4 linked regions of the Struthio camelus genome follow. The protein of the gene in region 3 purifies or fractionates together with the protein of the main gene of each other region. This does not show direct contact. Links are inferred from orthologs where the notes say so. Each region holds a gene or a part of one and is shown on either strand. Other genes may lie near its edges. The genes, in order: LTV1, HP1BP3, LARP7 and KPNA3.

Evidence for each region.
Region 1: the proteins of LARP7 (region 3) and LTV1 purify together in Homo sapiens (affinity purification with mass spectrometry; 3 studies listed by BioGRID and IntAct, with this or other methods). This does not show direct contact. The link is inferred for Struthio camelus from reciprocal best matches to the Homo sapiens genes LARP7 and LTV1.
Region 2: the proteins of LARP7 (region 3) and HP1BP3 purify together in Homo sapiens (affinity purification with mass spectrometry; 3 studies listed by BioGRID and IntAct, with this or other methods). This does not show direct contact. The link is inferred for Struthio camelus from reciprocal best matches to the Homo sapiens genes LARP7 and HP1BP3.
Region 4: the proteins of LARP7 (region 3) and KPNA3 purify together in Homo sapiens (affinity purification with mass spectrometry; 3 studies listed by BioGRID and IntAct, with this or other methods). This does not show direct contact. The link is inferred for Struthio camelus from reciprocal best matches to the Homo sapiens genes LARP7 and KPNA3.

The regions. Positions count from the first base shown.
Region 1 is NC_090944.1:77,174,019-77,181,842, forward strand, and holds the start of LTV1 (protein LTV1 homolog), read left to right. Parts: upstream 1-4,823; 5' UTR 4,824-5,471; coding exon 5,472-5,474; intron 5,475-6,908; coding exon 6,909-7,040; intron 7,041-7,824. UniProt on the Homo sapiens protein: Essential for ribosome biogenesis.
Region 2 is NC_090962.1:9,085,313-9,092,850, reverse strand, and holds the start of HP1BP3 (heterochromatin protein 1-binding protein 3), read right to left. Parts: upstream 3,020-7,538; 5' UTR 2,912-3,019; intron 2,521-2,911; exon of another isoform or gene 2,383-2,520; intron 1-2,382. UniProt on the Homo sapiens protein: Component of heterochromatin that maintains heterochromatin integrity during G1/S progression and regulates the duration of G1 phase to critically influence cell proliferative capacity.
Region 3 is NC_090945.1:23,239,619-23,247,262, forward strand, and holds the start of LARP7 (la-related protein 7), read right to left. Parts: upstream 3,019-7,644; 5' UTR 2,820-3,018; intron 2,725-2,819; exon of another isoform or gene 2,570-2,724; intron 1-2,569. Other genes in the region: 5'-3' DNA helicase ZGRF1, read left to right, coding at 4,701-4,721, 4,834-4,914, 5,030-5,086, 5,349-5,534, 5,900-7,644. UniProt on the Homo sapiens protein: RNA-binding protein that specifically binds distinct small nuclear RNA (snRNAs) and regulates their processing and function.
Region 4 is NC_090942.1:192,846,290-192,853,321, forward strand, and holds the start of KPNA3 (importin subunit alpha-4), read right to left. Parts: upstream 3,011-7,032; 5' UTR 2,120-3,010; coding exon 2,039-2,119; intron 1-2,038. UniProt on the Homo sapiens protein: Functions in nuclear protein import as an adapter protein for nuclear receptor KPNB1. Binds specifically and directly to substrates containing either a simple or bipartite NLS motif.

The sequences.
Region 1 (7,824 bases), on a different chromosome or scaffold from region 3:
AATTCTTTATATAAAAAGTCTTGCAATACTATGTCAAATTTAACCATATTTGAGCATTGTTATAGTACAGTAGAACGTTGCTGAACATACATACCTTCTCTTCCTTTCACGACTTTGTGTGGTGGTATATTAATTTGTAAACTTGTATAAATTTTGGAATTAAAGAAAAACTGTGGTTTGGACAATTATTTCAGCTGGTATGATTTCAAATTAAAAAAAAAGATCTCAATGGATTGTTTGAATGGGCATCTAAATATATGAGTAGGGGCAAGAAGGGTGCAGAGGTGGCCTATTCTAATTACCTGTCACCATTAAAATAGCTCTTAAGATATTTTTTCTAAAAGAGAAGCTGAATTCAATTTACAACAGAATTGTAAATGTAGGAGAGGTATTCGAGCACTGTAGATGACATTTCTGTACATTTGGGAACCGATAGGTTTGTGTCCCTTTCCAGGTCTGTGCAGAACAATTGCTCTAACAGTAAATCATAGCAGTATTAATATGCCGTATTTTATAGATCCAACTGTACCTTAAACACTGGACTTCAAAGAACATGTATTTTCTGTGGCAGAGCTGAAATACACCATGGGTGCTCAGTACTAAGAATCCTTGGGCACATGACTCCTCCCACTCAAGTCTGCAAGGACACCTCTGAGATGACTCCAGTAAGGAGGGCTTGATGATCCAACCACCACAGGTTCCTGGTGCTTAAACTCCAGTGGGATTTTATTAGGGTGCAGTAAAGTCAAGAGGTGCTTATGCACTGAATTTGTTAAAAGAAGGATTGGGGCCATAGTCACCTGAAATTAAATTTTGGTCTTTCTGCCTTTGTAACTTGGATTCATTGGAATTATTTTGCAGTATATAATGAAGTGTCAGCTATCAATAGGCACTGGGCCAGTTCCTGGACTTTTATCGTTTTTATTAATTTGGTAAAAAATAGAAACAAATTGTGCTCAAAGTATCCTGCTTGAATTTCAATAAACGTTCATATTTACGAGTAAAATAAAGTAAACAAAGCTTATGACTTGATTCCCCACTGCCCATCATGCTAGATAGTTACTGATAACTGTAACAAATGGAGGTGAAATGTTACCAGCTTAGAATTGCTGGCGTTTATAAAGCTCACTTTCCACATGCATAAATGACTTTCAAAAGATGTGAGGCTTTGGGGAATCAATACCCTCAACTTTTCAGTTTATGCAGTGTTTATTTTGCATAATAATTATAAAATGAATGCCTCTACTTGTATCTTAGTAACTTGACTTAGAGTGACTGAATACGATAACTTTAAAGAAGCGACTGATCTGATACTGCATTCTACACAGGATATCTGTGAATGTAAATTACAGTAATTGTTACAAATTAATGAGATAAAAACCCAAGAAGCAGCTATCTGCACTGTGGTATATACTTATACACACACACACACAAGTATATTTCAGTATTGTCATCTGAAAAAGAACATGCATTATCTTTTTTATGCAGTACACACATTATGCTTGTGTTTTATGTTTTTACTTAACAAGCAAAACATGTGCACTGCCTAGTTGTACAGTACCGTAGGATACTCTGCTGTGCACAATTCCAAGTGCCTTAGAAAACTGTTTAGCTTTTTGAATTACAGATATGAATGAATATATACAAATATAAAATGAAGAAAATTACCTCAATAAAATTGTTCAGAAAATCTTTACAGAAAACATTTCCTTCTTGAATCTGTAGCAAGTACATGGGTGTGTATGATGGAGTAAACTGCAGAGAGCAGTTATTTGTTGGAAGGTGGTCTCCAAAGATTGAATTCAAAGTCACTGCATGCAAATGAAATGAAGGAAGGATCCTGAAACCTTCCTTTTCATCTTGGGAGCCCTTCACACACACCTAGTAGCTCTCTTGGGGGTGGTCTTATTCATGCAGAGGTGTGTTGAAGTGCTGATAGGTTAAAAATACGTAGTGTACTAGCTCAATAGTGCAGAGACCTAGTTTATGCTCCCAACTTCACAAGTTCTGTATTAGTAAATCAAGCAGTTGTTTTCACTAGCTTCAGCAGAATAACGTGATTGACATGAGAACTGAATTAGAATTACACCTACTGCATTTACATGGACAAGACTGATCCGCGCAGCTCAGGGTTCGAACTAGTCTGCAGAATGTCTGCCCATCTTTTAACGTGACAAAGTAACTGGCAATAACTTTCGCTTTGTAGTTATGTAACCAACCATACCTCCTGTTATTGCAAGAACTAATAGCAAAAATATTTAGCATAAGGTTCCTCAAAAGGAAGGCAGATTGTTGATAATGTTAAAGAAATTTAGGCTTCCTGGCCAGATTCTAATCTCTTTTAAACTGAAGTAAATCCAGAGAGAATGAAGTCCAGAAAGTCTACTACATTTACTCAAGGATAATTTAAATTGCAACATAAGCTAGGGTTATTGATATGTCATTTATTCTACATTACTAAACACTTTTCTGGAAAGAACAGTAATATATTTGAACAAAAGCTTGCCTTCTTTTCCTGCTTATTTAGTATTGAAGTATAAATGTTAAGCTTTGGCTTTTAAACCAAATGCCTTCTGAACATCTATTTGGTAATTAAGGCAGCTAAACGTACAAATAATTTCTGTGGATTGCTCCAGTATACTATTGTGTATACAGTATACTCCCTCTGCGGTGGGACCATTCTGATACTGAGCATTCTTCTTCCATAAACGAAATAGAAGTGGTTAGTGAGCTGACCCCCTTTTCTCCCCACCCTCTGTAAATGCTCTTTGTTGACTTGAAACTGCAAGGCATCTCAGCAGAGAACACAGTGAGAGAGTACACCAGTACAGATGACCTTGTAGGGCTTAGATGAGACTAGAAGTTTAAGTGGAGTCTCCATCTGAGAGACTCCTGCATACATATTTCACATGCAGGTGATACTAAACTCTGAATTTTGAAAGATCAGACATCAGTTGGAAGTAGATGAATCACCCTTAGGTATCAAAAAAGGAGGTACATCAAACACCAGGAAGATGTTTATTACTGCTAATCTCACAATTTTAAAACTAATATCTAGATGTATTACGGTTGAGATGCAGAATCAGTCTTCTGAGATAAGGGAGCCTCTTCCTGTAGTCACAGGGCAAACATATAGCCAAGGTTATTCCCCTTAAACACGTGGAATCGAAAAAGGAAAGACACAGTGTGGAAATGAGTTAAGACAGAAAACCTTGACTTGTAAAACACTGAAGAGGTAAATTTAATTTGCCCCAAATGAAACAGATGATTAGCAAGGAAGCTAAGAGCAAAAGCTAGTTCTTCCAACTTGCAGGCTGACCAATACTCCTAGACCGGATTTTAAATATAGGGTATGAAAGTATTGTTACTGTTGGGTAGGAGGCTGTCCAATTCTCAGTACGAGGGGCAATCCTCTTACCGAGTCAAGGGACGAGTACTTTGCACCATGCAGCGTTCTGCAGGGATACTAGAGTTAGCTCAGGAACCTGGAAGCAATAAGGACTAATTTACTTTGTAACCCGGCAGAGAAATGCTGAGCACTATGTTTTTAACAGTTTGACTATTCCACTCCCATTATCCAAGTTGCCTAGTTAAAAGCTAGCTCAGCTCTATCACTGGTTTTGCACCATGGACATACTATAGGATGGGAGTTAGTCCTGTTCAGTGCAATCCTGAAAAATCTATTCATAGCATGCAACCAAAGGGTTGCTAACCCTCCAGACTGAGAGGCGTGAATCAAAGTTTCATGTGGCTGAACGCCACAAGATGACCACCATATATTTTTAAGACGCAAGAGAAAAGGAGTCTCTAGGCTTTTCTCAGAAATAAGCAGGGATAATTTGAATCCCCCGAGTACAGAAGTCATTCATGGAGCGGATCAGATTAGCTCATCCATTTCCGTGAGATTAACGTGGTGAACCTCATCTTAAAGCTTCAAGACTTCAGAAAACAATAGCAGGAAAGCGAAAATCTGTAGTCTTTTGGAGCTTTAGTGACACCTAGTGAAAAATACTGACATTCACTGAAACATGATTCAAGCTCATTATTATTTTAAGGTATACATACACATTTATTTGGGTGTTCAGATATACAACCATAATATGTGGAACGGTTATTTTAAAAATAATTATTTCTTAGATATCAATAACAATTCTTTCAATAGCTTTTTTTAATTTTTGTAATTGCCTATACACACATAGAAGAAATTCCTCCCGTTTTGTAGCTTACAATTTCTTCTGAAATGCAACAAAACAATTTTACCTAATATGTCTAAACTGCCAAGCATATTTTTTCGTAGCGAGGAGTGTGCGTCTGTGCCCGCACTTGTTTGTGCACAAGTGTGCCCGCGGGCATGCTATATGGCACAGATAGTTTATCTAGTGACATAAGGAGAAAGGACACTGATAATATAAATACATAAATTATACGTATAGCTCTTATTTACACCTCACCCTTCAAATTCGGCCTGAATATAAACTAGCTTGGAGCAATACTGGAAAACTGTGTGGCAGGGACCTCTGAAGCACCGCTAGCTGAAGACCCCCTTTCTGCTGGGCAGGAAGGCAAGTCCTGCCTGTGCCTTCTGCTTAACATAGCTTCTTTATAAAGGTTTATGGTAGTTCCTGAGCGCTCGCCACTTAGTGACGGGAGTGAAATGACTTCAGTTTTTCATACCCTTTCTGTTCTCTCACCTCCTTCACGTGGACAGGGCAGGTATGCCAAGCAGCCAGTCTCCTTTTCACAGGATTCATCGGGGGATTTTGTTCGTGGGCGGGGGCGGGGGAAGGATTCGCTATTGCCGTTGGGGGGGAGACGGGCGGAGCAGAAGATGACCAGCAGGACAGCGCAGTGCCAGCCGCCCCGCACGCCCCGGAGGAGCCCAGGCGACACCGGCGGGACGGAACCGCCGCTGGCGGCCACGCAGGGGGCAGAGCCCCACACACGGCTGAAACGGCCCCCTCCTGCCCCGCGCCGGCCACGCCCCTAACGGCCACCCCGCCGCCGCCGGGGAGGGGGGCACGCGCCTCCCTGCCAGCTAGCTCCGCCCCCCCGCCCTCCCCCTTCCGGTGCGCGGGGTCGGCGGCTGCGCACGCACCTTGCCCTTTGGCCCGACCGAAGCGTTCCGCCGTTGCGGTCCCCTGGCGGGCGGAACCATTCTCCACAAATTGGGGAGGGGGAGAGGGAAGAAAACGCGGATGCGGAGGAGCTCCTTCTGCGCGTTCAGAAAGCCTCTTTTTCACTCTGAAAGTTATTTAGCCCGAGAAAACTCCTGCTGTTCTCGTGATTGCGAAAAAACAACCCGCCCGGCGTGGCAGCCTGTCGGCTTACCCCCCCCTCCCCCCATGGTCCCTGCTTTATCCCAACGCGGAGGCGGCAGCCGCGGCCGTGGTGACGCCGCGGCGGTTCCCGGCCGGGCCGTGTGGTAGCAGCGCCCAGCACCGCCGGCGGGCAGCGCCGGCCGCCCTCGCGCCATGGTGAGCTGCAGCCGTTGCGGGGGAGGGGGGGCTTGTGTCGGTCGCCCCTGCGGCGGGGAGCCGGGCGCTGCCTGTCCCTGATGGGGGGGGGGGGCAGAAGAGGGCGCCTGCAGCCGGTAACCGTCACCCACTCTCCCTTACCCCACTTTCACCCCCTCCCCCCCCAATGGTTTTGGGTTGAAATTGGGGGTTTGGAGGCCTGGTGAACCGTCTCACTTGCTGGGCTGGGCTGGGCTGTGCGGAAGCTTTTTCCTCGGCCCTGTAAGGGTTCAGGGCGCCCCGGAGCTCCGGACCTGCGGGAGGGGCGGGTGCGGCGGCCCCCGGAGTGGTGTTGAAGAGGAGGTGGGCGGGGGTGGAGGGGGCAGCGTGCCGCGGCCTGTGCCGCCTGCCTAGGAATGGTTGAGGCCTGCACGAGGCGAGCACATGCTCCTGGAATGATTTCTGGGTTTGCCATAGGCCAATATTAAGAGGTGGTGTCTAGTTTTCCTGCTTGATGTCCTGCAACGTCAGTGTTTTATAAGCACTTCACTTGTATCACCAGTCAGCAGAAAGTTTGTTCGTAGGGGTAATATGTTGTCTGCTTCCCAGAGCTGATTACATCTCATTTTATGATTATCCTAAGATTTTAAGATATAGGATATTTTTCTTTAACTAGAGATACGTTTTGGCAGTTGATATGCTCAGGACCTTGATGTTAAATGGTGTGTAAGGTTTTATATGTTAAAAGAAGATTAGGTTACATCAGTAAGATAGTCTTCAGGTTACATATATTTTCTATCAATACATGCTAGTAGGTAAACAAAGCTATAAATTTTGATAAAAGTATTTCTTTCAGTTAGATGTGCTGACTTGTAGGAGGGGCTTTTACCCACGTAAGAAAACTGCAGATTTTTGTTGATCCAGAACGTGAATGTATTTGTGGTGTTCAGGTTACATCTGCATAGTGGTGTAGTTGATAATTGTTGGGGTCGATGGTGAATACGTAGAAATTGCATTGAAACATCTATCTGAACAATTTGCAAGAGGCTGTGTTTGTCTAGATGAATTTGCGCCTATCGGTTTCCTGTGTTTCTGTGATGAAGTTTGTTTCAGATATGCCCCAGTGTTTAGAAAGCAGTTACATCTTAGCATACAGTCCTGCAAAGGGATTTTTTAAGTATGTGCCATAATCAAATACTTGTTTCATATTCGTATATTGCCGTTTTACAGCTGAATACGGTTGCATGTGCTATTGGAACACATGAAGTAACTTCATGCTCTTCTGCGTGTGGGCGGAAGAGTTGAGCGAAATACAGCTAGTCTCTTGCTTTGTCTCTAAGTATACGTTTTAAGACTTTATGTTAATAGAGCATGTTTCAGGCAAAAGATCCTTTTTGGATGCATTTTATATTTTGTTTTTTATTAACGATTAACATAACCAAATGTTTTTTGCAGCCTCACAGGAGGAAGAAGCCCTTCATAGAGAAGAAGAAAGCTGTAACATTTCACTTAGTGCACAGAAGTCAGAGGGATCCACTTGCTGCTGATGATACTGCACCCCAGAGAGTTCTGCTGCCTGCGCAGAAAGTAAATACTTGCTTTTACTATTGAGGTTCGGATAGGAAATGCTGCACTGGAGAAAGATGGGTATGGAGTCTTACAGTTGAAGTACATGAGAGAAGATGGTTAAATGCCGGTGTTCAGCTGTAACTTGTTTGTAATTTTTGCCTGATACCCTAAGGAGGTGAAACGTGAATATTATCTTTCTGACCTGTTTGTGTATTTGGTCTCCCTGTATATACTATACGCATCTTTGAAATGGTTCAGAAGCATCCTGAGAGAGGAGCAGAAGTTCTGAAAGTGTTTTGTTACAAAGCTTTCAGAAAAATCAGTTGTGTGGAGAGCTAAAACTCTGAAGATGGATAGAGATAGAACATCTCTCTGTTCTTTTTGCTAGCCAGTTAACATACACTTCTGAACAAGCTTTTGTACTCTGGGAATGTGGAAGTGGGTAGTGAAATAGGAGACAACAGAGAAATAGGAGCAAAGATTATTAAAAGGAAGGCCATGCGAGATTGTGGGAAGGTATAACTGGGACAGAAAAAGGGGACGTTGTAGGGGATTTGATAGTTGTGAATTACTGCCTAATGGATGGAGGGATGGCTAATTGGCAGTAGGGATACAAATATATTAAAAACAACCACAACAAAAAATCATCTCACCCACCCTGAAAAAACAGGCTTTGTCAATTGTGCTGCTTATGAAAAAAGTTGCTTAAATTCCTGCTCAGACAGCGTCTAAACGCTTTACTAAGCGGTTTCAACATTCTAGTTGGTTGTGTGTTAGGATGATGTGTGGAGAGAGGACTGTA
Region 2 (7,538 bases), on a different chromosome or scaffold from region 3:
ATGAAATATCTTAATTGCAGAATCCAATATTACAAATTCTGACAAACCACTGACACTTGAATGTAAGTTTTAAGCCATGAACATTGCACACTGGGGTTAAGAACCTTTATCAGCAACACCCTTCTTGCATAGATGGTTTAAATTTGAAAGCACTATTAACCCTTCTCCCAAACTATTCCTAATTCACTCATCTCTGATTATTTTATAGTACAAGACTACACAAAATAAAACCTATGATTTCCTTGTACTCTGTATAAAATCTACTCACACTTCATATTAGAGTCCATTAACGTAAAGCTTCTTTTATTCTCTCTTATGGAAGGTTAAAATCCTCAGAACACCCTGGCTGACTTGTAACAAAATACTGACAAAAGCTCAAACATCAGTTTCTATTGAAAGAGAAAACGCAAGAGACAAAGATATTCTGGAGACAAAATTAATCCAAGCAGCTAGTACTCAAGGAAAAGTGCATGAAACTGAAAAATTAAGTAATTAGGGGGCACACTCATTTAAAGAGGAGAACGGCTGCAAAAGTCAGTAGATATTTTCAAGGCGTATTCAGTAAGTTCTTTCCCCCCACCACAGATCTGATGTGTATTCTTCCCCAACCCGTCCCTGACCTCCCAGGGCTTCCCACTTTATCCACCAATCTCTTTAAATCCCTCTTGAGGAAGGTAAGTGCTCTCCTGTACCGTCCATTAACACATCTCCTCCGTTCTTTAAATTGAGCAGAAGGGATGCTAATCAGCAAGCCCTTCCTCTTCTCTCATTCCCCCTATGCACACTGTCCCCACGCGTAGGAGCTTGATAGCATGGGATTGTTTATAAACATTAGTACTTTCAAACCGTTGCCGCTGCAATAAAATAGCTGCTTGCCAAAGATTGTTAGCCAACTATTTTGCTGAAGATGCTTAAAATACAATTTATGGTATTAAAAAAAAACAAAAACAAAACATGCACGGAAACCAGAGAGTAGCTATTATTCAAAAAAAGACTGATAAGAACTGAAAAGTTGCATGCTTGTTAACCCAAAAAACAATTTAGCAGGCAAGCAAGACTCCTGAAAAAAGGAACCTGTGAAATACCAAAGACAGAAGCAAGCTGCCAGCCTCTGCTATACTTTAAAAGGAGCGAACACGCCCACAAGCACAAGATTAGCTAACTTTTCTTTTCCTCTAGCAGAGGCTGAGCAGTCCCCCAAGATTTGCAGACACCTGTGACTAGGAAAGGAGCCACAGGCAGGAAGGAGTTGCTGTGAATTGTGTCCCCAGTCGGGAGCTGTCCTCAGGCAGTATAAGCTGGTGGAGCCCTCAGACCTGGAAAGAGCCACATCAGTTTATATTGGCTGAGAATTTGGTCCACTGCTTCTCTCTCCCATCTCGAGTCTTTGTAGGGTTTCAGCCAGAAAATGCAGTCCAGGGTGGCAATAAGGATAGCGAACCCAGAATGAATGCGCTCTGAAACAACCCAGCCTCTCTTGAGTCCAGAATTTATAGCTTTCTGTACAGAGAAGCACACACAAGAAAGGGAGGGGGGATAATTAGCTTCTTTAACGAGGTTGTGACCAGGGAGAAACCCAGAGGCGCCTGCTCTCTCCCAGTTTAGGCCAGTGTCTAGCTCTCAAGGCACAGAGAGGGATTAGGAGCTTCCTTGCGGAAGGGCTGCACGCTCAAGCCTCAGGGAGAGGAGAGGGCGTTTTCTTGAGTGTGGTGCCACTTCTCTGGACTGCGGTGAAGTGAGTTCGAGGAGGAAAAAAAAAAAAGCAACAACAACGGCGAGTACACAGCTGCTGGAGTCGGGGCACTTCCTCGGTTCGCGCCGAACCGGTCAACAGCGAGTGTTTCATCGCTTCGCGCCCGCCTCAGCGCTTGCCGCCGCCGGCGGCTGTTTACCAGGTGTCAGCAGCGGGGAAGGGGCCGGGCACCTCCCTTTGTGCCAGCAGCGAGGCGCTGCGGGCGCCCACCCGCGCCGAGAGGGCCGCGGGCCGGACCCCGGCCCTGCTCCCCGCGGCGCACACCGGCGCCCGGGGCGGCTCAGCCTCGCCTGCGGGCCCAGCCCGGCGCGGCCCGTGACGGGAGACGAGCCCCGCAGGGCGGAGCAGGCCGCGCGGGGCCCCTCGCCTCACCCGCCGCCTATCGCGACAGCCCACGACAGCGTCCCCCTCCCTCCCCGCCCCACGCGCGGTCTGTCACAACGCGGGGGGAGGGGCGGCGCCGAGGGGTGTTTCCCGGTGGCCCCGCCAGGCCGCCCCCGCTCCTCACACACACATACACACACGCAGCCCCCCCCCCCCCCCCCCGCCGCGGCGGCCTAGCGGGCCCGGCCCCCCCCTCCCCGCCGGCCCGGGAGCGCGGCGCCGCGGGGCGGGCGGGGGTCACTCACCAGCAGGCCCAGCGGACACAAAGCGGCCCCTCTAATGGCGGCGGCGGAGGGGGAACCGGCGGGGGAGGGGCGGGGGGGCCGGGGCAAAGGGGCGGGGGGCGGGGCCGCGCGGCGGCCAGGGGTGTGGCCGCGGCGGGCGGGGGGGGTGGGGGGCGGGGCCCGCCGGCGCCGCCGGCCAATGGCGGCCAGCGGGCATTTTTCGAACACCGCCCCCCCTCTCTCCCCCTCTCGCCGGCCGCGTCCACGTCCCGCGTGCGGGCCGGCGGCCAATCGCGGCCGCGGGGCGGGGGGGGGGTGACGAGTGGGGGAGGGAGAGGCGCGCGCAGGCGCCGCGGTGGCGCATGCGCGGCGCCCTCCGCTTCCGCCCGCTCCGCGCGGCGCCGCCCCTGGCCGCCAAACAAAACGCGGCGCGGCGCGGGGCGGGCTGAGGGGGGCGCTCGAGGCTCCGCGCGCGCGCGCCGGGGCGGGGGGAAGAGGGCGGGCGGGTCACGCGCGCGCTCTCTTCCCCCCCCCCACCTCTGCGACCCACCTCAGCGCGCGCGCGGCGGGCGGGGCGCGAGAGCTGCTGCGCGGCCGTTAACGGCTCCCTCCGGCGCGCACTGCGCGCGCGCGCGGCGCCAACCGCTCCCCCCCCTCCGGCGGCCGTTGGCCACGCCCTGAGGCGTTACCCCTGGAGCCTACTGAGGGCACCAGCGTGCCTCTCCTCCTCGCCCCGGCCGCACACAACCCTAAGGGGGCAGCGCGCCCTTGAGCAACCTCACTGCAGCGTCGTGTCTTTGCCTCTTGCCTCTCGCTTCACCATCCTCCCGCCGCTTGCAGCTCGGCCGGCACTTGCCTTTGCTTGGCCTGAGCCTCTTTTTTTTCCCCCTGACGCTCTCACCGTGTGATTTACAGTGGCGGGCTGCGTTTCCCCCCCCCCCGAAATCCCTCTGTTGCCCCTTTGCTTGCGTTTAAAGGATAACTCGCAAATTCCCTTCTCTACCTGTGCTTTTAAGGGGGGGCTGTAAGGTTTAAAGTCCCGCGGCAACGTCGCGCCGGGGCTGTTGCGCATTCCTCAGCTTTCTGCCACCCTTCCCCGCTTCGATGGCGGCCGTAGCAGCGCGCTACCAGAGCGCCTGGCGGCGTCCCCCTCCCAGAGCCGCGCTGCTGCGCCCGAGGCCTGGCCCCAGCCTGCGCCTGCTCCCCCAGGCCCGGTTTAGCCCGCTCTGAACGCTTTGTTTTCCTCCGGGCCCCTCGAACAGCCCTGGCAGCGCCGTGGCCAGATGGCTCCGCTTTTGCTAAACATTCCTCCGGTTCTCGCCAGGGCGAAATAACGACCACGCAGCTGCAGGAAAAACGCGCGCCGTGGCCTCTTGCCCCCCCCTCCTCGCGGTGCCTCTCCGGCAGGAGGGGCGAGGACAGCGAGCGGGAACGCGCTCCTTCCTACTTTTGATAAGGATTAAGCACTTTGGCTACCGTTCCTGCCTTCCCAAGTGCCGTGCAGTAGTAGGACTCCAACCAGCCCGTGCAAATTTTTTTTTTTTTTTCCTTAAAATCATTTGATTCGATTGCATCTTTCCGCGGCCCTGAAGCTTCGACGTATGAGCCTGGGGCTTTCGTTTCTGGAAGGGTTTTTCTTGCCTGTGCAGTGCAACTTGCAGTCTAAACCAGGTCATTCAGATGTACTGCTGCCGCGAAGAGCGCGCATCAGTAAAACGTAGCCTGTCAAGAGCCTGAACAGGATTTCCGCCCCCATCGCCTGAGAGCGCTTTCCAGAGCAAAGCAGCGAGCGTGCTTCTGTTAGAAACATTCACACTTTGGTGTGAATTACCGGTTGTACTTCTGTTGCAAATACGTCTGACTACAAACTCCATTTCAAGGCTCACGAGACGCTCCGTTAACTTTCTTACCCTGTGCCAACTAATAGTTTTTGCCCGTTATGCCACAATTTTTGTTTAACGTGAACGTTTCTTGCTTCACGAGCGCTGCCCCTGAGTTACTTAGCGTTACCTGCCACATAGCGTACAAGTTATGGCTTTAGCTATTATGTTTTTAACGCAAGACTACTATCACTTTGACTGATAATTCATTGCGTCTCAGGGCCTCCCGTGCTGCGCGCGTTGTACGTGGAAAGCGGCTCATACGGTCTTGCTCTGGCTGGCCAAGTGAGCACGGGCTCTTTGTTGCCAGCTTCTGCTTTAATGCTTGTCTGCAGCTCCCGACTTCAGTTCTGATTATATTTAGGCCTTGCCTCCGGTGTCGTCACCCTACCTTGGCAAGTTTTTTTTTAGTTTCCCCTTTTTTACCCTCAACTTTCCCACTTGTTTCATGAAGCCTTTTATAAATTAGAAACTTTTTGGCATGCCGTTGGCCTGGCTCGGGGAGAACGCAAGCCTTTTTCCGTTTCCTCCCGGGGCTGATCACAACCAGGCTTGGGGTGGGGTTGGGGGGGGGGGGGGGGGAAGCGTCTTCCAGTTGCCTCCCTCTTTCATCCCTAAAGCTTCACATCCTGCTGCTTATCCACCTCGGCTGCTCTGCCTTTAAGCGTCCGTTCGGCTGACTTGCTGAACAACTTACGCTCCTCTGGTAATTCATATTTAACCTTTTCAGCTGCAGAGTCCTACTGTGATCCCTGTCTTTCTTACAACTCTGTGCAAAAAGCACTCCATTTCTGGCTCCAACTCAGAATGCATCTTCCCTGCTGCTCTGTGGCCTCCCGTGTATCATCTTTGATCTCCTTATTCTTTAACAGCCTCCTAATACATTTTCTCAGGACTTTTCCCATGGACTGGGCTGCTTCCCACTGTAGCCCTACCCTGCCTCCCAGCTGCTCCTCTCCTGCTGCCTCTCTAACTGCTACCCATTAAGGCTCTAGTTAGCTTCTCTTTTCAAAACGTTACCCCTTTCCAAAGGGCTTGCTGTTAATCTGTGCATTTCCAACCCCCCCCCAACCCAATTTTATATTAGTTCTCAGCAGATGAATAAAAATATGCTTAAATAGACTTAAGTTGACCCTATGAGTGACAGAAATGTACCTACCACTGGGAGTGACAGAAAGAGCAGTAAGAAGGGGGTTTACATATTTATTTCCAAGGCTGCCGAGGGCACAGTAATGCTTTGCTCTAGTGAAAGATTTAGGGGGCTTTTAGGCAGCAGAGGAGGCATTCACCTCCCCTCTCTACAGCCCAGTGCAGACCTCTCCATCAGAGCTTGTCACCCGGCCTTCCTCCCAGGCCACCAGAAGCAAACAGGCACGCCTCTTCTGACGTGACGTGGCCGGGAGAGCGCCCCACAACTGACTGTTTCACGTCTCTGCTAGAAAGGAAGTCTACTTCCAAGCTCATCATCTCAAGTCAGGCGGGACGAATCCCACCTCTGCTCCCTCTCAAGTGAATCCAGAAACCTCTCCGGTGGAAGCAGCCTTGCAGGGTGGAGAACAGGATGGAGGAAAGCGTTGCCTATCCAAAGTAGCCTCTGCAGGTTGCTGCTTTTCTGGAGATGCTCAAATCCAAAACAGATCCTTACTGCCTTCGTAATGAGGCAGCTACTCTCGTCACTGGGAGGCCAGTGGCTGAGGCCTGTAATTTTTCTAGAGGGGATAAACACTTTTGGCATTAAAGCAGTGACTTATTTTACACAAAGCAGGCAAGTGAAAACGACAGCTCCCCTAAGCTGAGCAGGGGTCAAAGTCTACCAGCTCCGCGTTTCACCCTGGGAGATCACACCTCTTCCAAAGCTGTGTGTCCCCACAGTTAATATCTGGCAGCAGGAACACTTGTGTTTTGTTAAATTCCTTTGCTCTCTGAGCCAAATGCTATTTCAAGTTAAAATTGGTTAGCAGCAGGCTGCGGCACAAAACACGCAGTGCCTGTTCCCCTCACCCAGGCAGGTAATAACTTACTGTCAGTAACGCCTCCTGACTGGCACGCTTTAACAGCCACAAAAGCTCATTTTTGGCTGCCAGGCGTGCACAGCATGTCCCTGCCATCCGCAGCATGCACAGTGCATGCAGCAGCCTGGCTGGACTCTGGCCTCCGGGCGGAAAGCAGCGCTGGTTTCTCGCCGATCCTGCAGCCGTAGCAGAGTAAAGCCGTGCCAGCAAGCCTTGCTGCGAAGACAGAAGATCTTTGGGTTGAAAAGGAATTTAAAGCATTCTTGGCGTTGGCTCTTCCTTGAGGCGTACAGTCAACCCTAGCGTTAGCTTGCTGGTCTCTCCATGGGGAATTGTGTCAAGCGGCTTTTCTTCGAGATGCATCAGCCACGGCCCAGGTTCCTCAGAGAGCATCGCAACTTCCACAGCTAGCAAGAAGGGCAACTGCTGGCCGTTCCCCTCTGATCGCTTCAAAGGCCTCTGCCCTAAAGCACCTTGGGAACACACGACTACTCAACAGTGGGTCAAAACAAACATCCGCTTGACCCAAGCCCTGTCTCTAACAGGGAAAAACAGTTGTCTCCTTGGAGGAAAGGATGGTAACACACGCGACTGCCCTGTTCTGCAGAGAAGGTGTGTGAAGCTCCTTCTCTTTCCTGGTCGCAGTACCCGAAAGAAGCGTCTCTTTCCAGCCAATCCCAAGGCAGGCACGTACGCTGCACAAACCAGCAGTCAGGATCAGGACGGGCTCTGCTGGCCTGCTGTTATGTTTTGCTTTTGGGGCAGATCACTGAAAGGATGGAAAATTATTTCTGTCCTGAACACCCAAAGCAGGGCTGTCCGGTAGGAGAACAAAGCTGTGAGCTGTGCCCATCGCCATAAATTAAAGGAGCTGTGGTGCTGCAACCGTGCAGAGCGCGCAAGAGGCTGAGAGCCCATTCCCTTCCCAGGCCAGCGGGTTTTGAGGAATTACGCCGTTTCCCAGCACATTTAGATTGCTCACAAGCAAACGGGAGGTGGCCTGGGCTGATGGATTATTCACTTAAGGCCATCTTTAATGGCAGGACAGAGCATTTCCACTGGACGTTATTTCAGAACAGCTTATTCAGCAACACCGAAACTACCAATTTTCCCTCCTGCTCCAGACGGTACCAACTGCATCAGCTGAGATGATCTTTTCAGCTGCCTTCCTGCTCTTCTCTGCAACGCTGAGTGAAGATAAAACACTTCTAACAGGGCTCCGCTCCATGCTAGGTAGCGCTGTGTAGCCTGCGAGCTCAGTAAAACTCTGCTTCATGACACTATC
Region 3 (7,644 bases):
TAAAGTACTTCATGCATTTTGAGTCACTCAGCCTTGGGACTTCTTTCCCAGGAGACAAGTTCTCATTCGAGCTTAAAGGAAACACAAAAAAAGTTGCAAGCTATATTCTGCTCTTTTTATGGCACTCCCTTTCTGCTACTGTTTCAGGAATGAATCTTTCGGAATGAGATTTTGGAGGCACTTAGAAACGCATCAGAGCAAACGTCAGCTACGAATCCATCTTACAATTTGTGTACAATTTTACATTTAGTAGTGAAATAATCGTATGTGAGAGATCATTGAGTTTAATTCACAATATAAGAAAATATTGTTTACAAATAAGGAAATGCTTTGAGTTCGACTTTTTTTGTTAGCATTCCTTTTCTTCGCAATTACTGGTGCAAATCTCAATTCAGCAATGAAAGCTGCAGCCCAAAGCTATACAACATGCCTGCATTTTCGCTAATTTGCCACCCTTGCAGTTGCAAACACTGTTTTGTTTAACAATAAAAATCAGAAGAAAGCACAAGCAGGGTCAAGATTTCTGCCTATTAGAACAACTACTCTCATTTAGTCTTTCTCATATAAAATAAAATCACATATTCCCTATGCGCAAGACTGAAAGTGGGAAAAGGAGGGCAATTAGGCAGGCTGGCAGGGTAGGTGAGGAAAGGGGGAAATCCAGAAAAACAAAGGACATGTAAATAAAAATAATGCAGGTTCACACAAATCTATAGTGCTTTGTCTAAACACTTTATAGAAGACAAATGGTAACCAAATTGGTGCTATTCTGTATAGAGACAAGTTTCAAACCCCCAACTTCTACTGTTACAAGGACACTAGAAAAGCATAATCAAATGCAACTGTCATCCAGAGTCTGCAAGAAATATAGTCCCAATTGTAAAATATCCAGTTCCCTTGTTTTAAGTATCAATATACATACGCTTGTTTGCTTTTACGATTTTAAGTATCAAGAAACAAGAGTGGCAAGAATCATTCAAAATACTTTTTAGGCTATGAAAATGTTTCCATATAGTGTTTCCTCTTTTAGATACATATGCCAAACTAAAAGTAGATATTCAGCATAATTTAAACTACTTTCAAAGATGCATTTTGTCATCTATGTTGGATATTCTTATTCTAATAGATAAACAGGAAGAGCTGCACTAGTTTGAATTCATACCCTACCTAATAACTTAATTAGGCAGAAAGTGACCTGAGAAAGGACAAAAGTTACATGAAGACTAGCACGCTTTGCTACATAACCTAACAACAGAGAGCCTTCTGCTTTCTTCCGATTTGAACCACGAAACTAGTAGGTAATTTTAAACTGACATTTAAGACATACAAAAGATGTCATAAAATGCTGAGTATGGATCCTAGGACTAGTGTGCTCACAAACAGAAAAGGTTCAGCTTCCACAGGACAGTGATGGCTGTTACGGCTGTCTCCAGACATGGGCAGACCTTACTGTGCCAGGCCTGCCGTGGTCACCGTTTCTCTGTCATCACTAGAGCCTGAAAGGGAGGTTTTGAATAAAATGCAGGCCCACAGCACAAGGCAACTGCAATAACAAGAAAACAGGCACCTCTAGCAAGACATTTAATCAGTGGATCCCAAATAACTCTGCAAACAAAGTCAGTCACATCATCTCCTTTTTTCACAGCTGAAGTAAGTGGACAACCACCAAACTCATCTACTGTCACAACTCCTGTTCCAGAGTCTCATTTTCCCATTCTTCATTGCAATGGCTAGCAAAGGCCATTCTGGGTCATAAGTGCAATAAGCCTAGCTTCAGGTGCAGAATTAAGGAATACAATTAGACTGATTCAGCTGTATGAACCAACAATTCACACTAACACTAAAAGGACAGCCTGGTTCCTGTCTTACTCACTACACAGTCCTCCCTCAGAGTCTGTATCATCCTCTGGGGAGGCAGTTCAGCTCTCTGATCTGAGAAGTTACTATTTTGTAGTCTTACTTCTCTGCTGGGTAAGTGGGTTAGGTCAACTCATTAAAGGACTTAATAAGCAGCACAGATGACGAAGGGAAGCTGCAGGGATGAGCCCTCAGGTACAGCATAGAGAGGTTACAAAAGCAAGACATTCTGCCGCCCTTTTAGTGGCTGCAAACAGACCAGCTCAGAGGCACTACACAACTATAGGGTGAACTTCCTCTTCTCTCCCCTTCAAAGAGGAGAGGCACGATGTACAAGTTTTCCTAGCCCCATTGCAATCTCTGCCACTGAAGCAACTGGCAAAATGACAGTCCCTGAAGAGGCCAACCACTATATGTTTGCCAACTATTTAGGTATTGACCACTGCAGGTTTCAGCCCTGCTACTCAGATTGCTCACCGACCCGCTGCGTCTGCAGGAAGCAAAGGCAGAGGTTAGCCCAGGCGTGACAGACCACTGGATCAGGTTGCCCAGAGAGGTTGTGGAGTCTCCTTCGCTGGAGATATCCAAAACCCGCCTGGATGTGATCCTGGGCAATATGCTCTAGAGGTCCCTGCTTGAGCAGGGGGATTGGACTAGATGATCTCCAGAGGTCCCTTCCAACCTCAACCATTCTGCGATTCTGGGACGGTACCTCAGGGAGACGCATACGCCGCACCCCGGCACGGACGCGACAAGATGGCGCCCCCCGCCGGCCGCCTCCGCCGCAGAGACCCAACGGCCCGCCCGGCACGAGCCGCCCCCTAACGGCCTGCGGCCCCAGGAGCGCCCGCGCATGCGCACGAAGGCGGCGGCGCAGGGAGGGGCGGCAGCGCCCCCTGCCTGCGCCGCCGCAGCGAGAGCGGCCCCCGACGGTCGCCGCCACCGGCCGCCGCGCCACTGACCTGTCGCCGTCACCCGCCGGTGGGGACCCGAAGAGGCCGACTTCGCAGGGGGACACCGGGGCCGCGCCGCGCCGTCCGCGCCCGCCTCTCGCCGCAGCCCCGCCCCCTCCCTCAGCCCTCACCGGCCGTCAGCCCCCGCGCGACGCGCGGCCCCCTGGCAGAGAAAAGCCCCGGGGCGCCGCGCACGCATGCGCAGTGCGGCAGCGGGGGGAGGGCGGCGGCAGCGGCGGCGACGCCTCGCCTCGCTGCGGGCGCGTGATTCGCTCCTCGCGGGCGGGGGAGGGGAGGGGAGGGGGGCCTGTCTCGCTGGCTGTCGGCGTGTAGTGACGTCACGCCGGCAGTGGCGGGAAGCTTTCGAACGCGCGGAGGGAGCGAGCGCCGGGGACAGGTGGGCGGGGGGCTGCGAGGCTCGCGCGACCCCCCGCTCCCGCAAGGGGGCTGTGACGTCAGGTGACGTAGCGTGGCGTGGCCGCCGCCGCGCGCCCGCAGGGAGCGGCTCGGCCGTTGGCGGCGGCGGCGGGGGTCGCTAACGGCCGCGGGGTCGCTAACGGCTGGCGCAAGCTTTGGCGGCGGGGCGGGGGCCTCCCCGGCGCGGGGATGGCGTTGCCCTGGAGCAGGGAGGTCCGTGAGGAGGCAGGCTTTAGTGGAGCACCCGCGTACTGAGGGCAAATGCGTACAGCTGCCCTGACCGTTAGCACGGGGCTTAACCTGTACGACGTGTTAAGAGCGAGCCTTTAGCAAATCTGTATAAACTTAATGCTGGCAGCGTTCGTATTCACTCCCGCTTTTGCTGCTTGCTGTGCTAAATCATAGTAAGTATTCGCATTGTTTTTAATAGCTAGAGGAGGTATTCTGTGTCCCTAGAGAACGTCTCCCTTTCTTCCCTAGGTTTCGTACGTTGCTAAACATCTTTTCTTGTGTTTGCTTCTGAAAAGTGTGTCACTATCCACAGTGCTGATCCGGGGGCTGCCAAGAACGTGACGGCTGTAAGAAACAGCGCCATGAGAAGAAGCATGAATGTGCCTGTGTGTAGCTACTTTATATTAAAGTATTTCTCACTGAGCTGCAGTGTGAGAATAACTGGAAATGTTATGTTATTTCTTGTGATGCGTTTTCATTGCAATGCCATTAATTGATTAAACTAAATAAGGTCTTAAGTGCTGCTCTTTAAGCGCTGGTGTAAATCACAGTACTGATCAAATATTAGCAACCAAAATGTACAGTAAGCCCCAGCTTCTAAAGACAAGTTGCTTTTATAAAGTTTTGTTCCCATTTTCACCATCGGAAGCTACTTTAAAAGTTATTTTGGTCTAGCTTTAAATATGTAAAGAGGCTTGACTTCACGGGCAGCTGATTTTGAAAATCAGTTATCTTGAATGTGAGTTAAGCATGCGTGACCAAGTCAAGTCAATAAACTCTTGACAAAGTTAGTCTGTTAATAATTTCCATATTTTCTTGCTGCAAGTGAACACAATTAGGATAATTTGTAATTTCAAAGTGCTATGTGATCAATGGAGTTTTCAGAGTTGCTAGACATTCATTTAAATTAATTTAAAATGGACGTTGGTGTATATAAATTATTAATTTTTTTTTAACCAACAGACTTTCTGTTAAATTATTTTCAAGGTGTGTCTTTAGAATTCCCACATCACACATGCCTTGAGGTGGAGAGCCAAGGTGTGTGTGGAGTTTTTTTACTTTTTTTTTTTTTTTGCATCTAGCTTTCTACTCTTGAGAAAAAATAAGTGAACTGGCATCTGTTTTTTTCAGTACATTTCCCTTACAACTATGCTGAATTCTGAAAATTTTCCTGTCTCTCAGGCTGTATGAAGGTATGAATATTTGCAGAATAAGCTGTTGGACGAACGTTGTGCCAAAACAATGGCTTCTCAAGAGTTTACTGTAAGTCTTTTTTTTTACACTGTAGGCCAGTGAGTAAAAAAGTCAATATCGATGTAGCTGCTGTATTATTTAAACATTTTCTTACTTATCACTATTTCAACATTTAAATCAGGTACTATACACTCACCAAAAAATGAAAAAATCAAAAACATGGCAAGATGGAATTCTGAGGATTAGAACTGGAGGAAATAAGGTGAACAAATTTAATACAATTTGATATCATCTGCTGCTGTTTGACTATCAGTGCCATGTAGTAGATCTGTGAAATAAAATTCATTATTTAAAATAACGATTTCTTTTCATTGTAGGCAATCTTGTTTGATGATAAAGGACAATGTTTGGAGAGTTTGTTTATAAAATCTCAGGTATATTTTGTTTTGGATTTTTTTTATTTGTATGCTTATGATTGTGGTTTGTGTTGCAGGAAGCCTTCCAAACCCTTGTTTGTTTGGTAATTAAGGTAGTACTTTTTCTCTCTAGCGATATGGCTGATAGTTTCTTATTTCTTATGAGTGAAAAATATTACGTTTTTGACTCTTATGTGCAAGTATCACAACATTTAGAGGGAATTGTTTGTGTTTCTTACGCAGCACTATTGTGTACCCACTGCTGCCTTATCTTTCCTAGGTGAATGCTGGAGATAATTTAGAAAGTGAACGCTATTTGATCACAGTTGAAGCAGTAAAACTGAATGAAAAATCTTCTGAAGATCAGCCAAGGAAAGCAGAAACTCCAGCAGTGAATAGAAATGGCGTAAAGCCTGGTGGTCTGCCTCCAAGACACCTGCCTGTTGGGTTGAAAAGGAAGTTTACAGTATGTCTTTGTTTCAAAGGTTGTCTGACATTAACATGCATTTTAAAACACCAAGGGCACATTTTTAAATGAATGATGAATATACAGATAATGTCTTCCTGCTTTTTTTTGGAACTGTAAATCAGAATATGTTACTGGAAGCTCTTTTTTCGTAGTTTATTAAATCTTTCTTGGGTTTAGCAGAATTGCTGTTGCTAGGGGTACAGTGAAAGTCACAAGGGTTTGAGATTATTTCTGTACGTGTATGGAATCATTGTGATATTTGGTCAGAATATGGTTTATGAAGCATGTCCTGTTTTCATCTTTTAGATTACAAAATGTGAGGTTGATTTCTGAGTAGAATTAATTTTAAACTTTTCTCTTAGGGTTTCCAAGGGCCACGTCAAGTTGAAAAGAAAATATCAGCAAAGGAAGATGAAGAAAAAGCAACATTATTGCCTTTATCTAAGCAGTGTCAGAGTTCCTTGCCATCTAAGTTTTATATCACCTCTCCCTTATTTTCTACTGTTTGCAAGAAGGATGCAGACACAAATGTATCCACCAGCTTTCATGAAAATGTGTATACAAACAATGATAAAGAACATGTGTCCTTCACCTCACTGGTTTCAGCTCCATTTCTTGAGACGTATAAAGAGACAGAGAAGAGTAACTCTGATCAGTCCATTGTGAAGCCAGAATATCCTCTAATTAGTGAGCACACCAAGGCAACCAGTCGTGTGGCGGTGTCGCAGAACATCAGGAGCACAGCACAGATAATTGCTCTTTTGAAGTCTAAACCAGCCCACCTATGCACAGAGCAAACAATTTCTGAAGTCACGGAATGCCATTCTAAGTTTCAGACCTCAGAAAATATAGATAGTTTCTATAACCAGAAGAGTACAACCCCACCTGGCTTTTCAGGCAACCCCGGCAAAGGTTTTACTCAAAATATTCAGCACCAACATTCTACAAAGGAAACTGGAAGTGATGAAAGGGAATGGAATGCTGAAATGCTTCTAAATTCAGCTGAACAAGCTTGTGATAAAGAAGTTGCGGGACAAAGACGTGACAGAAAGGCAAATATCTTAAGTCAAGATTTACAAGACCCCTGCAATACAAAGACTTTGCACCCTGAAAAAATGTGTGTCTGTATGAATTTAACAGACAGCAAAAGGCAATGCATTTGGGATTGTGAAAGATGTCGAGAACCCTCATTCTCTAGAAGTGATGGGGTACCTAAACCATTATCGATTAACAAATGTGCTGCTAGTGACCATCCAAATAGTTGCTTCCTATCTGAATCTAGCATAAGTAAAATGAGCAACAGTCAATGTGTCCCATCCTTAAGTGATATTTCTTATTCAGCAAGTCCAGCTGAGTCCATCGTCCTTGAAACAAATCTCTCCACATGCAGAGAGCGTTCAGTGACTAATGGTCTTAAAGAGGATTCATCTTCAAAGTCACAAAATGAACTCCAGCTGAGACGAAATTCAGAAACAGTGTCCAGTGACTTGGAGCTCTCTGCGGACGTAGCATTGACTGGTCATGTAGTTGTGAAAGAGGAATTAAGTACACATGGCAGAGACAGTGGTCCAGAAGAAGAGGTGATGGAGGTGAATTTCAATTTATTAGAGGCTTTTGATTTTAATGACACAGACAATAGAGAGCTGTGTGAAAGAGATGTGAAAGAGCTTGGTGAAGGAGACATGCTTTCACAAGGTCCAGTTTGCTTAAAGGGAAAAGACGCAGCACAAACTGTTGAGCTGAGACTTCGTTCTTGCTGTGAAGTAACACCACACAGTAAAAAGGAAGAAGTCAGAGGTTTAACGTTTGACAGAGGGAATGATGGAAATCACTGTCCAGGAGGTGTACCGTTGCCGCTTTGTGACAGCGGCATTGGCGATATTGGGAGAACTGCGGAAGACTTTGTAAGCCCCGCCAGAATTGAAATGGAACTTTTGGATGATATAAACAAAATAAAACAGATTAATGAAAGTCAATTAAATATTGAAGCCAAGACCCATAAAAAGGATCTCAACGACTGTGCAGCACATACTGTTAATGACAGGTTGTCGATAAACAGTCAGGGCTCTGATGTTTTGCCTGGTGGCACAAATGTTAATGAAGGTCA
Region 4 (7,032 bases), on a different chromosome or scaffold from region 3:
ACCCCTTCTCAAAGCATGGATGCAAGTTTTAGTTCCATTAATGTTAATGTGGTTATCCACCAGGCAAACAGTTTCAGGGCTGAACTACAAAAGGAAGTCAATCAGCCTGGCTACTGTAAGATAACCCTATAGGATATATTCTCCATAATTGCAAATACACTATTCCAAAATAATTACTTCGTTTCAGGAGCAAGCGTTCTACTGAGAGCTAAGGCACCTTAGCTGGTCTGGTATAACCAATGCCAGTAAAGCTCAGGCGGTCAACTCCCCTCTTCCTCCCATACAGGCAGACATTTAATTCCCCTAGTCGTGGGCATGCTATAATATAAGCAAGTATGGATGACAGATCAGTTCACACTAGGCATGAACATACCTAACCTTTCCCTGTTTAGAGCTCTGATGGATTCAGGCCAGCGCCTGAGAAAGCAGCAACAAAGCCAACAACGAAGACGAGGAGATGAGACAAGGACAAAATGAATGAGGAGTAGCAGGAAGAGTCTTGCTGGATGAGAAGGGAAAAAAGAAACCTACCATGTCTCCTCCCCCTCCTTCCCTAAACTGAAGGATGGTCAATTTTTAGTTACTTTCAAATAATTACTACTGTTAGCCAAAAGTGCTTAAGTTATCACGCTCCTTACACACAAGGTCTTCTGTGAGAAAGAATCACTGTCATCAAGTTAAACAGAAATTGAGATAAAGATTAGTTTACATTGTGAATGTCATCCTAAAGACACTGCTGCTAAGCCTGACCTGCATGAAACTGTCTCCACCCAAACAATGGCAGCAGAGGTGTGATTTATGCTTAAATACAAAACATGCTTTCAAAGGACTAAAATTCCAGCAACATCGATTGTAAAAGTATAGTCAAGTGATAATATCACAATATATCAGCAGAAGGAAGGAAAAGCAGTCTCAGGAGGAAAGAAAGTAATTTTACATATATTTAGGCTCTCCTGCTAGTGAATCCTAATTCGACTTCAACCCTAGTCTGGCTTCAGGGCCCCCTTCCTTTCTTATTACAGAAACTTAAAGGCTTAAGATTTGGGATTTCCTTCCTTTTCCGTTGTGACTTAAAAATCGAAGATGTCCCTAGTAATGGCATATAGATCCCCAAGACTGTAAGAAGCCCTCCAGGGAATAAGCGAGCGGCCTTTTCACCACCCAGACTCTCTCAAACTCGGGGGAAGCAAACTAACACTCCATTAGCCTGAGAGCCCCACGCTCTTTCCCGATGTAGATGGAGACGCCCAGCAGGTGATTCCTTGTGTACCTAGAACCATAAAAATATATATGTGTATGCGTGTGTGTGCGTGTATATATGAAACACAAAAAAAGGTGGTTTAAGCTAGAGCAGGGAGCAAAATCGGCGGGCCCAGGTCGCCGCAGAGAGGTCCATGGAGGGGGGGGCGGGGGAGCGGCCCCTGCGGTCTCCCCCTGGCCCTTAGCAGCCGGCGTAGGCCTCCATGTGCAGCGGCGCGCAGGCGGACGGGCCGCCGCTGCCCGGCGTGCGAGCTCCGCCTCGGGCGGAAGGGCTACGACCCGCCGTGGGGGGGGGGGAGCGGCACAAAAGGCAGCCGGCACCATTGTGCAGCCCCGAGCGCACCGGGCAGGGCGGCGGAGGGCAGGGGCCGGCAGGGAGGCAGATGGAAGGGGAGGGTGGGGGGGAAGGTGCCGGCGAGGAGGGGCGGATCGGCGGATCCCGGCGGCGCAGGGCCCGCCGCGGCCTTCCCCGCCGCCCCCCCCCGCCTCAGCCGGGTGGAGGGGGCGCGGCCGAGCCGGGCCGGGCCGGGCCGGGCCGCTCGGCCGCCTCACGCCGCGGGCCCCGCACACCGCCGGGGCCGCGCTAACCCTCCCCCCCCGCCGGCCGCGCCCGCATGACGGAGGAGAAAAAACCCCGCGGGCCTCCTGCCCGCCGCCGCCGCTGCCCGCCGAGCGCCGCCAGGCCCGGCCCGGCCCGGCCCCTCCTCTCGCACCCGCCTGCCCGCGGCGGAGGAGGCGGAGGCCGGGCCGGCCGGGCCCCACCGGGCCCCGCGCCTACCTCCACGTCGCGGCCCTTGTTCTTGAAGCTCTTGATGCGGTGGTTCTCCAGGCCGGCGGCGGCGGCGGCGTTCTCGGCCATGGCGGCGGCGGCGGCTCCCAGCTCCTGCGAGGCGGCTCCGGCGGCGGCAGCGGCTCGCGCGAGGGGAGGGGAGGGGAAGGGAGGGGGGCGGGGGAAGCGGGACGCTCCGTGACGAGCCCGAAGGGGAAGGAAAGCGGAGGGGGGGGGGGGGAAACGCGTGCGGGAGCGCGCGCGCGCGCGCGGCGTTGCCAAGTGACCGCGCACGTGACGCGCTCAGAGCGACGGGCGGGCTCCGCCAGTGGCGGCGCGGGCTCTTCTCTCGCCCCGCCCCCTTCCCTCTCTCCCTCGGCGTAACTGCCAGCGCCGTGCCCTCGGCTGGGGACTGCGCTGCCCAGCATGCACTGCGGCCCCGGCCCGCACGCGCCAAGAGACGCGGCCCGGCGGCGGCGGCGGCGGCCCGCGCGTTGCATTCCGGGAGTCGTAGTCTTCGCGGCGTGGTGCGGGCGGGAGCGCACCCTGCAGGGCGGGAGGAGCGGCCGCGGCCTGGGCCTGGGCCTGGGCCTGGGCCTGGGCCTGGGGGTTCAGCAGTAAATACGGGGAGACTCGGGGAGACGTTGAGGCTCCCAGCGCGGGGAGAGCCTGCCGGCATGGCGGCGGTGGAGATGCGCAGCCTCTCCGCGGTGGGAGAGGGCCCCGCTTACCCCAGGGCGGTCGCGGGCTCGGGCTGCACCCCAAATCTCCCGGCAAGGCCCTGCCACCCGGGCTGCCGCGCGCGAGCGAGCGGTGGCTCCGCTCCCCGAAGGCGCCACGCGGTTACCTGCCTCCTGTGGTTCGGTGCCTGGTTCGCAAACCCGGCTTTGGGTTGTTCTTCCAGCTGCGGTTATATCAGAGGTCACCTGCGGCGGCCTCTTCCGTCCTAAACCACAGCGCCAAAGTTGCCGTGTTTGGTCTGGGGAAAGCACTGCGAAACAAGCATTTGGCGAATCAGAGGTCTTGGGAAGCCCTCGATCTACTTTAGCTCACGTGCTGAGCCGTACCTGGAAATTAAATCCAATGTAATCCAGTGCTTTCCAGACACGTCGCTTGTACGAGGCATGCACAGCGCGGCTGTGCGTATCCTGGAGGTGTCACACTTGCTGTAACGTAGAATACAAACGGTCTAGGCCAGTCCGACCGATTGTCCCCGCATCATGAAAAATTGCTAGAAATCCCCAGCTCGATTATGCAACTGTGACAGTAGGCCTATGGATACACTGCAAATAGATTCAGGATTTCCAGATCTGCAAATGCCTGGGTACAGCAGGTTTCTGCATATGTTCAACCTACAATACCTTAAAATTGCACTCAGTATTTCCAGAGTGGAAAAGAGGACGCACTGAGGTGATGTAATTCTAGACACCGGTAACCAGTGATCAAACATCTTCTGTAAAGCCAGGTCTTACTCCTTTGGAAGAAAAGCGTCCAAGGAAACCAAAATCTAAAAATAATAAAACCCTGTAACATTCATATCTAGCTCACCTTATATCACATCAGGTCCTGCAATAGACCTTTGGAACCATATACAAGCTCTTCATAGACCCTCTCTTTCTCCTTCAGAGTCCCTTCCTTCAATCAACAGCTTGGCCTTTTAATTGCTTTCCCCCGTCCCCTCTTGCATCATTCAAATGACTTTAACTTGTAACTTCTAGTTCTAGCAAAATAAGGCTTGCAGCCTGTTGGAAACAAGCAAAATCTGGAAAACAACTGCTCTTCCTCACTGTCGTTCAGCTGTGTGCCAAATGTTCTCCTGTGAGGAATCACTCTAGCACTTGAGTCCCTCTTGGATCCAAGCAGCCTGGGCTCCAGATAAACATTTCTCCATGCATTTCCCCCGTTGCTTTGCCTGGGTGTGCTGTGCTGTTATTGCTAGCTGTGGCAGCGAAGAAGGAGCCCAGAGCATGCAAAGCGCAAACGCCACGACTAATGTGACCGTATTTATCAAGACTGCTAATGTCAGAGATGATAGCTTCTAGGTTCTAGCACTTTTTCTTTTGAAGGAAAATTGGACCCAGCTGTCCGGCTGTCTTCAAAAGAGTCACTAAAGCAGATTCAGTAGCTGAGAACTTTGTTTTACCAGCCAAGGAAGGTGGTGGCAGCTGCCAGCTGTGGCTTATGCAGAACCGCTAGGACATCAGCGCAATACCGCTTTGAACCCTGCCAGATGGGTGTTACAGCCATCCTGTGGAGGAGCCGCACACCATTACCACGAACAAAGGAGCTTTGTTCAAATCCATTCAGTGTGATATATGAGGTAGAACAGAAAACTTAATGAATAAAAAATAGAATGTCACCAATCTGAGACAACTCAATTTACATGAAGCTGTATCCATTGCGCTCAGTAAGATATATAGATACAGTGGTGGTCGTGTCTTTTCTTGTCTGTTTCTTCTTACCCATGATATAGGCTTTTCAGAGTTTCTGTAGCACATTTGATTGGTCTTGGTAGACACTTCATAACTGAATGCCTTTTAGACAGAGCTACATGGCAGTTTGATTAGTGTTACTGTCTGAATAAAGCTTCTTGGTGGAATTCTTGACTAGATAATTTAACTTGCATGCGCTCAGAGAGAACACATTTTGATGCAGTGCCCTGAATACTGCTTTTTGGCACTGTAATAGCCACTGCTAAAATATAAGGAGCAAATACTTCGCTACTTTGAAAACTGAATGAACTATGTAGTTCAGTGCGGCCATTCTTCCTCACCACATGAGCTTCATATTGACGTGTTCCTGTGGACAAGATCTGCAAGCCTCGACCCATCCCCGTCCCCACAGTGGCACCTGATACCTAGGGCTGGGGCTACCCCAGCTGCTCCCACTGCTGAAGTGAGTTGATCTGTGTTTGTTTCTGGAATGACCTGTTGACTTCAGCAGAAAAACATGACTAATAAGGTGATATTACCTTGTTTTGGGAACCACAGAGGAACAGCTCAGGAGCCTGCCTGCAGCTACAGCGTCGACACCCCTGAGGTCACTGGTCACTCGCTCATATGCGCTCAATGATTGTGTCAACACCTGCCAGTCGATACAGCTGCAAGAAAACCAGCATATAAGAGAACTGTAATGCTCCTGAGTAATACTCTTTCTAAAGCAGCTCCGTGTCGGGGGGCTATCAAGTATGCATTAATAAAAGGACCTGCAAGAAGGATCAGGCAGATTTAGATGCAGCGATTTAAGATGCTACCAAGTATCAGCTCTGTCTGGCTGGTGCATGTTACAGGGGGAGGCAGGGGGGCAAATAGGACATGTGCCATCTCCTCAGCCTCCCTGTTCACAACCATGAGGAGCTGAAGCTGAGACATGTGCGGTGAAGGAGGTGCAGGTGCCCTCTGCTGCAAGAGGAGTGGGGAAGCTAGTGAGATGCTGTTTTCTTAACCCACTGCAGCTGGACTGGCTGCAGACTATCTGTCAAAACCAGGGTCTATAAAAACACGTAACTTCCAGTTACAAAAAGATGCAAGGAACACTACTTTAAGTCAACCTAAGTCATTCATCAGTCTCACCTCTTGCTTGTCCTTCTCCAAATGGGAGGCCTACGTGTCTCTGGCTTGTATCATACTATCACAGGCAGAGCAGAGTGGGAGGAAGCTTTTCTGTACAAGATTTGCCACTGTTCACACAGTCTCTTACTCCCAACAGACGGTTAACTTTTGGGCCTAGCTTTCCCCATCTATTAGAGCAAGATTGGCAGATGCTTGTATAGCATGTATCCCCACATTACTTTTAGCTCTCTGGCAGCTGGCTGAACTGCGTCTCGTTGGGTGTTGCCCTCTGAAGAAAAGGGATGTCTCTTTCTGTAGGGATGAGTAACGCATAAGGTAAACTAAGGCAAAGTCACCTGCAAACAAAGCCTTTGGTACTCAGTTTGTCTTTACAACGTATCACTTCAGTAAGACTATTGCTGCATGTTGCTTACATTAGCTATACAGAAAGGCTACTTTGTGTCACAGAAGTCAAAAATTGTCTTCCTAGGAAAAGACTTATGTTCTTACCACACCGTAACTAGAGTTTAGTAATGAACGTGACAAGTAAATAAATAAATAAATAAATAGTAAATAAATCCTGGTAAAGACTCAAGCTTTGTCAAAGGCTGCTGTCCAATACCATGGCTGCTGGAAGGTAGTCTGCGCTCAAGGAGAGACAAGACAGGTCTACCAAGGAGAAACCCATGGAAAGTTGTTGTATAGAAAAAGCCACATCCAGGTCAGGAAATCTCTAATCTGAAAATAGTTGGAAGCTGGGAAAGTGTTGGGGGAACCATCATACTTATTCCTATCCTTATACTTTTCCCACGGTATCTGCTGGTGACTGTTGGCGACGCAAATGAGATGGTCTGACCTGGCATGGTCCTGTATTATTTGCAGACAAGGGACAGAAGCATTCAGGGACAAGGTGGCTTGTCTGCTACTATTTCCAGAAGCTGTATGATGTTTTTAGTGAAGGAGGAACTGTAAAACCTCTGGATATTCACAGCTCCCATGTTCAATCTAAGAGACTCTCTTTGTCCCCACTTTGACCAGGAGGAGGACTAGGGGAAGCTCTTCGCAGGTGAGAATTTCGCTTTCCTCCACCACTATTCTCACAAGCAACTCCAGAGTAAGTACAAGCCAGTTTCTCATCTTCTATTTGCTAGGATCAGGGAGCAGCAAGGACTGCTCTGTAAGGGAAGGCCAACTGGATCCAAGGGCAGGCATGGGGCAACAGCTTCAGAGACAAGGGCACAGTACCACAGTACTCCAACAAGAAGAGCAGAGCTGCTCTGGCGATGGTAACCAGGATCAGACAGGAGCTCACCAGGCACGTCACAGATCAAGCCAGTGGGTTAGGGCCCGGGTCTGGATCAGTGAGGTACACAGGCAGGAATGGGCATAGCTGCGATGTAGCTAAGGCAGAGAGCAAGGACAGCAAGCAGCTCCTGAGAGGAGGGGAGCAAG